Linked DNA regions of Drosophila melanogaster. The protein of the gene in region 1 interacts with the protein of each later gene in a pairwise test. Each region holds a gene or a part of one and is shown on either strand. Other genes may lie near its edges.

Evidence for each region.
Region 2: the proteins of CG16717 (region 1) and CG13097 interact in a two-hybrid assay, tested with the Drosophila melanogaster proteins (one large-scale study listed by BioGRID).

What each region holds. Positions count from the first base shown.
Region 1 is NT_037436.4:9,677,238-9,681,571, forward strand, and holds CG16717 (uncharacterized protein), read left to right. Parts: upstream 1-1,963; 5' UTR 1,964-2,229; intron 2,230-2,662; 5' UTR 2,663-2,670; coding exon 2,671-3,573; 3' UTR 3,574-3,823; downstream 3,824-4,334. Other genes in the region: fry (furry), read right to left, coding at 1,535-1,589; alphaTub67C (alpha-Tubulin at 67C), read left to right, coding at 4,177-4,179.
Region 2 is NT_033779.5:8,511,616-8,516,560, reverse strand, and holds CG13097 (uncharacterized protein), read left to right. Parts: upstream 1-1,692; 5' UTR 1,693-1,806; coding exon 1,807-1,901; intron 1,902-1,968; coding exon 1,969-3,715; intron 3,716-3,821; coding exon 3,822-3,968; 3' UTR 3,969-4,387; downstream 4,388-4,945. Other genes in the region: PIG-U (phosphatidylinositol glycan anchor biosynthesis class U), read right to left, coding at 1-199, 260-531, 594-1,218, 1,279-1,408; CG13096 (uncharacterized protein), read left to right, coding at 4,793-4,945.

The DNA of each region.
Region 1 (4,334 bases):
GCTGGCGGAATTTTCTAATTTTGCCACACTGCGCTACAAAATCCGTTGGATAACTGCCAGGTGGTGCTGATGGTGGTAGCGATGGTAGTGGTGGTGCTGCTGCTGAAAGAGCAGCAAAACCAAATGGAAATAAAATCCCAACACACCCATTGTGACGCCAGACGTTTGTTTTGCTTTTCTTCCTCTTTCGGCGCTGAATGTCATTATCAAGGTTTATTTGGCACTCTGTTTTTCCCGCCTTTTTTTTTTTTTTTTGGTTGCGATTGTGAATGAAAAGCGTAGAAGTGAGTGGGCGGGTTTGTTTTTGGGGGAAATATTGAGATAGGGCCAAATCGGATCGCGTACCGGCTTAAATCGGCGGTAAATCAATCTCGGAATTGCTGTGTGCCAAATAAAAAGTAGAAGGAAAAAGGGAAAACGTTGAGACCATAAATTAAAGAAGACAAAGGATGAGATGTAAACTGCATTATGTCAACGGTGGGCAAAGACTTATTTGTTTCAGACAAATACTAGATTATTTATTGCACAGCTTGTGTTCATTACCTTTGGCATGCAAAAAAGCATAAGATAGTCATGCAATCATTTTTGCATATATCTTTAGTCATTAAATTTTAAACTTAGTTTTGTCGCAACTCTTTATATATGTATGCTTATATGTGTTCTCAAGTGCTTCTAATAAAACTAATGGTTCCCTAGCGACAAAGCCGCAAAGCAAGCATTTAAGTTTTTCGATTGAAGCCAGAAGCAAACATATGTATGTATGTATGTACGTATATTTGTAGCTTTATATTCCTTTGTTGCAAAATTTGCGATACCCAAGTGTAAACAAAGAACCCAAAATTAGAATGAAAATCCCACTTTGATCTAAATCAAGAGCAGAGGTAAATATTTTCATAGACGCCCAAACTTACCGGCGACTCTCTGTGAAGATATTGTACATACATATAAGCACTTAGAAGCCCTTAAGATAGAAGTTTTTCAAAGTAAACAAACCGTTTCCTGTGCACTAAGAACTTGCACCACTGTGGTACAGTGAATCAAAACCATAAATTGTTCAATTTGATTAGGTGTGCAAGTGCGAGCAGGAGAAAGAGAGTAGGCGAGAGAGAGAGAGAGAGAGAGAGAGATGACGAGTGCGTGTGGATGGCCGGCAATCAAAGTGAATCATCACTTAACAAATGAGGAAGACAAAGCAAACAAACAAATGGATAACGGATAAACAGATGCAGAAGAGGTGAAGTGTGTGAAGGTCCAAGTGGGAGGGGCGGGAGAGAACAAAGGAGGCGAGGCAGTGAGTGAAATGCAGTGAGATAACACACACACACACACAACAGCGCACACAGTCAAACAATTAGTGGGCGTGTGCAATTAGCAACAAAAGCATAAAACTAAGAACAAGTGCAGTTAATCGCAAGAGTTGCGCGATGCAAAAGGGAAAATCGAGAAAATCACGCAGAAGGCTCTTTAAATCCCATAAATAGCCACTTATGCAGCTGAAAACTAAGAAGAGACGACAAATTGCGAAATAACTCACCTGCAACACCTGCTTCCAAACCAAACAAATCGTCCTGCAGCTCTAATTGATCCATTGCAATCGAATACAATCCGTAATTAAAAATTGATGGCTAAAAACAATACGCGTCTGCAAAAGTTGCAGCTGCGGCCATTTTTTGCTTGCCCAGCCTGGAATTCCAGCTTTTAATCACGTTTCACTTTTTAAACACTCAAAGAACACTTCTATCATTCTTTGACACAAATGCACACGAAAAAAACACTATTTCCAATTTGATTTAGCCAATTTTAGGAACGTTTTTTACTGCAAATGTTGGACGAAAATTTACGCGTAGCGAAGAAGCAGAAAATTATAAAGCAGCTGATTTTTGTTTTGACCAGGGCTACGTTAGAAACTTGCCAATCGATAGGCGATTGTACGTTACGTTTTTCATTACGTTGCACTATCGGCGCTCAGCTGTTTTGCCCCGGCAATGACGTCACGCGTGAACACTCAATTTCTTGTATTTTGATTGGTATTATCAAATTAGTATATCGCATTTATCTGCAAATACTTGACTAAACATAAATAAACGCGCACTAATCAGGGCGCGACCATGTCGCCGGCGATTGCAACGTGTGCTTAAAGGCCTAACACAATGGCCTAAAACAATCAGAAGTCGGCGAGGCGCAAAGAAGCAAAAAAGGAAGAATCGCTTGGAAAGTTTATAACTAAAAGTAAGTAAAAGGAATTAACAGTATTAATTTGACAAATGAAGCTGTTACCTGTATTAGTTGTGACTTTTAACTCTACTCTTTAGATATAGTTACAAATGCTTCCTAAATTGGAACGTACGCCAATTATATTGGCTTAACTACAACACTCATTAAATCTTTTTCAAGTGCCTGTCCTTTTAACACAAATGTAATTGCATTGAATATTTTAATATATGAAATTTACGAATCACACGAAAAACCCATAATTCCCAGTACTTTAAAATTAAAGAACTGTCTTAGTAAGATAACATTCATGGCCACGTCTTATGTATAGCTCTTACTATCTTAAACAAAAGATTTAGTATCTGTGTTTAAATACCTCGCTGAATTATACGTAAACAAACCAGTTCTCCATAAGAAAATTCATAGTAATCCTCACACGCCACCATTGCAGATATCAAAATGGAAGTGCCAGTACATCCACTTAGCCAGGATCCCACGGCCGCTTGGAGGGAGATTAGCAAAACGCAGCGCGTGATCAAGGTGACAATGAAGCCACCGACCACCACGGTGGCGCCCAACAAGGCACGAGTGGTTTGCATGTCCGACACGCACTCCCTGACGCCCTACATCAAGTTCGATATACCAGATGGCGATATATTCATACATGCCGGCGATTTTACCAAGTGCGGCCAACTGGAGGAGGTGGAGGAGTTTAACACCTGGATTGGAGCACTGCCCCATCGCCACAAGATCGTGATTGCTGGCAATCATGAGCTCAGCTTCGATAGAACCTTCACCCATCCTTTCCAGAAGAGCAAAAGTCATGCTTCGAGCAGCAAACACACCGGCATGTCCATCCTCGATGATCTGCCCACTTTGGGCAACGCCAAGGAGAACTTGGAGAGCGCTGTGCAAACGCAGAATGTCCGCGATGTTCTGACCAACTGTCGGTATTTGGAGGATGAACTACTTGAGATTTGGGGTATTCAAATATATGGCTCGCCATGGCAACCGGAATTCTGTCGCTGGGCCTTTAATGTTCCACGTGGAACTGCCTGTTTGGATAAGTGGAATCAAATCCCGGAAGGCATCGATATCCTGGTCACCCACACGCCGCCCGTGGGTCACGGCGATCTCTGCTGTTCCGGCGTACGAGCCGGTTGTGTGGAGCTACTCAGCACAGTGCAGCAACGAGTGCGCCCGAAATACCATGTCTTCGGACATGTACACGAAGGCTACGGCATCACCAGCGATGGCAGGATCATCTTTGTGAATGCCTCAACGTGTGACATCAACTACCTACCCAACAATGCCCCCATCGTTTTCGATGTGACGCTGCCCCCCGGATTTCGCAAGGATTAGCATGCCTAGATGATTATTTATTGTGTCACAGGTTCAATGAATTTATTTTCGTCCCACTTTATGTTTATGTTAAGGTATTTCGTCTGTAAAGATTTTGAAGCACAATTGTAGGTGTCTAGAGAGATAGAATTCAATTCGCACGAAATTAAAAAAAGAAATTCACACTTAAGATGCCATAAAATATTTATTCAAGTAGAGTGCATTTGTCAATATATGAATTTGTAAAAATAAACAAGTTTTGAAGACACCTAAACTTTTGAAGATTTTCAATATGATATTATATAGTTTTTAATAATAATTTAAGTAAAGGTAAAGCAAATCCTGAGATACATACATACTATTTCAAATTAGTATCGATAAGCCGCCAGAAATGGGTTGGAAAAACCTTGGAATGATTATTGGTTAGCAGCCCTGTCTCCCAATTTGACATTCCTCTTTGGCGCTCTGTAACGGCGCTTTTCCAGTGACTCCCCAATCAGCGAACCAACTAACCTGAGGCTGCACTTTTCGCGTGGCGACCAAAAAAATTATAAAAAAAAGGTCCCGCATTAGATTTTAATTTGTATACACCCAATTTTAGTCCAGCAAAAAAAAACTAATAAAATGGTGAGAAGAAGAAAAACTAATTAGTTTAAGAATTGCTGAAAGCGGGAAGTGAAATTTAAAATCAGAAAAGATGTGTAAGAAGATGTGAAATGAAAAGGTGTGGGAAGTGAACATGAATAAATGTTCATTGAAAATGAACAGCTAATTGCGAATTT
Region 2 (4,945 bases), on another chromosome or scaffold:
AACAAGCAGAACTCACGTTTAACGTGCGCGAACAGCAGATCGGTGATTAGAAATATCTGCCCAGTGGAAAACGCAAGAGTGGCACCGAAATAGAAATTGGCATTTGCCGATCCTGCATAGATCCACAAATGCCAAAGGGCTCCCATCATAGATAGAGTGACCAGGAAGAACGTAAAGACCACAAAGCCATGGGCCATGACTGAAAGAAATTACCAAAGTGCTTAGCAGTTGAAATAACTACGTGAGCCAGATAACTTACATTTCCAACATCTTTTCCACAGCGGAAGCAAGGCCAGATAAAAGCCGACATCGCCCAGGCTGGGATACGCCCTAAAAACGGCCATAAGGGCCACCAATACCGTGGCTAGCAGTAGGGGCTCCTTGCGCAGCTTAATACTTAGTGGCACCAGGTATAATACGGTGGCATTCAATTGGAATGTGATTAGGAACATGGTGCGGAAGTGCTCAAACATTTCAGTAAAAAAGTACCAGAAGAGACCGATATTTGGCTGTAGATCGCGGAAATAAAATCTGTAAGATAGTTAAATACGTAAAAATACAAACAGATAACTAATAAGATAGTTCTTGCTTACATAAAACCCAACGTTCCATCCAGGAAGTTCCAGCTGTTCAGCACAAAATAGTTCGCAACTGCCACGATTAGACAACTGACGATAAAGAGCGCCGCTATAGCCACACCCCTCCTGACCGAATTCCGTGAAAAGACCAGGAGCAGTGGTGCTATAAGTACAATGGGATAGAAGCTGCGGACAGTTTCGAACGCGAGGACTAGAAGGCATGGAATGAGCATTCCCTTCACGAGGCAGTAGAAAAAGAAAGCCAGGAACAGATTGCTTATCACGGTGGAGGTCATTCCAATGCAGCTCATAACAGTCAGTGGACTGAAAAGATATGCCACGATCACAAGTTCCGGAATGTCAAGCTTGTCCAGCGGGCCAAACTGCAGCTCTTCCGTATCCTTGGCATACTCCTTTCGCTCCTTGTCCTGCTGATCCTGCTTTTGCTTGACGAATCTCAGACTCATCGCATAAAGCAGGGCCGCCGTGCAGATATCCAGGATTATGTAGAATATCGGCAGAAACTGCGGGTATTTTTGAAACAATCCGGAGAGCGCGCTGAGTATCAGCGGCGATTCGTGTACCAGGTCGCCCAGATAGGGATCAATGCCACTCTGTAGAAGAAATATCCCCTCTTGCACTGCAAGAATAACTCCATTCAGACTTGTTCATCTATTTGATGTCTACTTTGTTTACTTACTGCGCTTGTGTGAATTTAAAGGTGTCGCGAACTCCACTCGGTTGCCAATCATCGGAGCCAGCGGCGTGCGACAGAAGTAGAAGCGCACGGCGCCGCCCAGCAGGAGCAGTTTAAAGAACTTCGAATCCATCTTCTAGTTGGGCATAGTTTTTGTGAACGGACTCCGCCTGTAAAAAGCCGCCTACAGCTGGCTTGGTGGTGGCAAAGGCCTTCGATAAATTATCGATTTCCTTGTCACGATATACGGCTTCTGGTCTACTGTGTAAGCAATTATGATTTTTTTTAGAGCTTTGTTTTCTTCAAGTTAAATATATTTATTATTTTTGGAATAACAAATTTTGGCTCAAAACAGGATTCCAACTCGCATAAAGTTTTTAAGCTTGGAAAAACTTGTACTTGTATCACGCGCTCATCTCTATGTATCTGTTCCATCTCTCACCAACTGGTTGTTGTTTTTGGACCCGCTCTTGCGCTCGAATTGTTGGAATATATATTTCATTTAATTAAGCACAGAAAGCAGTAGTAAAAATGATTGGAAGTAAAAAATCCAAGGAGGCGAATGTCTTCAAGGAAATCGCAGAGAACTTCGAGCAGCTGACCAAGAATCCAGAGCGTTTTCTCCAGTTTGTTTTCCTTCCAAAGACCGCGCACGTGTTTTTTCAAACGTAGTCAAAACAATTTATATTTCAGGCCACAGCCGGAACAAGTGAATGCCATCGAGCAGCTTATCCAGCAGACATACGCCGTTAGCATCAGCGAGGATGTGGCGAACAAGAAGGAACTGCTGCCGGAATTGGTGCTGGAGCAAATGGACGAGGAGCAGATCTGGCAGCAACTGGAGATTCGCAACGAACTAGTGTTCCAACAGGTGCTGGAGCAAACCGCCAGGCTGACGGCGATGCGCGAGCAGCACCTGGGCATTGAACTGGACGATGGTGAAGAAATAGAGGAAGAAGACGAAGTAATACAAGCTGAAGACTCAGGCGATGAGGAACAAGATGAGGAATCAGACTTCAGCGACGAGGATGGAGGGCTACAAAAGCAGAAGACCGCGCCGCCGAAAGACAAACGAAACAAGCGACTACGCAACTCTGTGGTGGACGATACCTTCTTCAAGTTGGAAGAGATGAATGAGTTCCTGGAGCAGGAGGATGCCAAGGAGATGCGCCGCCTGAACAGCAAGAAACGCGTTGAGCAGGCCGATGATATAGATCATTTCGCAGAGGATTTTGGTCTTGGCGAAGATGAGGAGGACGATGAGGAGGGGAATGTCAACTATGCGGACTTCTTTGACATGAATGAGGAACTGACAGAGCATTCTAAAAAGATTAACAAAGGCAAGCAGAAAGATTTCTTCAATGAAAACGAGAGTGAAAATGAAAATGAACCGGATGAGGATGCAAATCCCAAAGAGGGCGATTCTGATCAAAGCGAAGGAGACGAGGGCGATGATGAACCTGAAAATGATCAAGATCCAGATGAGGCGGCCAGCGAAATAGATGAATCCGAATTCGTGGCAAAAAGTGGCATAGAACCTGCCAGCGATTCAGACTCGGATTCGGAGAAAGAAGAGGAGGAGCCACAACCCACAGAGCCACCGTCCCAATCATCCAATGAGATGAGAGAGGCTCGTTTGTTTCAACGCATCCGCGACTACGAAGACATTGTCCTAGGCGAGAAGCCTTGGCAGCTCAAAGGCGAAGTAAAGGCAGCCAATCGGCCCCAGAACTCACTGCTTGAGGAGATTCTCGACTTCGATTCGACCACCAGGCCAACGGCGCCAATCACGGAAGAGGATAACCGCTCCATCGAGGACATAATTAAGCAGCGTATTCGCGACAAAGCATGGGACGATGTGGAGCGCACTGTGCGACCGGTGAACACCCCGCAAGAGTACAGAAAACAACTTGTGCTTGACCAGGAGAAATCAAAACAATCGCTGTCGCAGATCTACGAGGCGCAGTATCAGCGCGAAATGGAAAAACTCGATCCCAATCGCGATGCCGATGACAAAACTGGTCCGGAACCGAAAGAACACCAAGAAATCAAGCGGGCAATGCGTTCCCTATTCCTTAAATTGGACGCCCTCTCCAATTTCCACTTCACGCCGAAACCGGTGGCGCCGGAGATCAAGATCGTAACGAACACACCAGCAGTTCACATGGAAGAGGTGGCCCCGCTGGCGGTGAGCGATGCCAAGCTGCTGGCACCCGAGGAGGTGTTCCGCGGACCCAAGCACGCTCCACTTGGCAAGACCGAACGCGATCGAACGGATAAGAACCGCGAGCGCCGCAAAAAGAAGCAAAAGCAGCGGGCCATCCACTCGGCTCTGGAGCAGCGCGAGCTTCAGCGAGCCAAGGAGGGCAAGGCGCCCACAAAGAAGGAAGCGGATGCCAAGCTGCTCAAGACAATCACCAAGAATCGCAATGTTCAAAAGGTATATAACATTTTAGTTTATCTCTGTTTTATGTTTTGTATTTAATTGCTATTCTTGAGCGATTTTGAATTCTAAATGAATCAAACTTTAAACGATTTTCTTGCAGATCAATGCCAGCAGCAACGACCAGGGAGCTCTGAAGTCCTCAAAGGCTTTCTTCCACAAACTGCAGGATACCGCAGCGGCTACAGCATCCAAAAAGCGACCGAAAAAGGATACCGCCAAGGCGGATGCCAAGAAGCTGAAGCTTTAAACGTACACGCTAGGACTCCTTCATATTGTAATTGCCTTAAGCCAGCAAAGTTTTCTCGTCTCCAGTCACGTGCCAGAAAGTTGTCACAAGCACACACGTATGCCCACATAGCAATCCTTGTTGCAAGAATATCTTTAGCATGTACTGTGTGTCTGGGGAGTCCCCAATTTGGTGCTCCATGGGAGATGCCATGTGTCGGTACTTTTAATGTTCCATGTGCGCGGATCCATCGTATGTGTATGTGATGCGTGGGCGCTTTGTGTGTGGCGGCGTGTGAGTCAAGGACATTCTGTGTCCTGTTGAGGCGATTAGGCACGCGTGCAGCTTGCGGAATTTGACTATTCTTAGAATTATTTACTTAAAATAACTGTTTGCTATGTAAATAGTACCCTAATTAAAGAAAGCAAAGCAAGTAACGTAGCCACTTGTTTTTTTGTTGGATTAGAGTAGAAATACTCAATCATATAATCATCATCATAATTTCTATATTACATTACAAAATTAAAAAATTTAATTTTATCTTCTAAGGGAGAAATAGAGATGGGATACAAATCGAAATCGATATGCTATAACGGTCAATTTTCCAATCGGTTTTGGTGAAACAGCTGCTATTGGTGCTCGGCCCTGCGAAGGGGGTGTGTATTGGCTAAAGTTGTGACCGTGCCTGAGACATCGGTAATGAAAATAGTTCCCGATATCGACTGTAGCTACGTTTTGCGATTCTGAACATATCGATATTAAAGCGTAGCACGTGTGGTTGTGGTGCATTTTAAATATAGTTTTGCTCGAGTTTTTACGCATCTGTCAAAAAAGCAAAAAATAATATGGTTAAAGTACAGAAACCGCAGCCCAAGTCGCTGAACAAGAGCGCCAGCATCGAGGGCGTGGTTAAGAAAAAGGGTAAACCGGAAAAGACCAAGAAACTGGCCACAGACGCTACTCTGGAGTTGGCCAGCAACAAAAAGGCAAAGAACGCG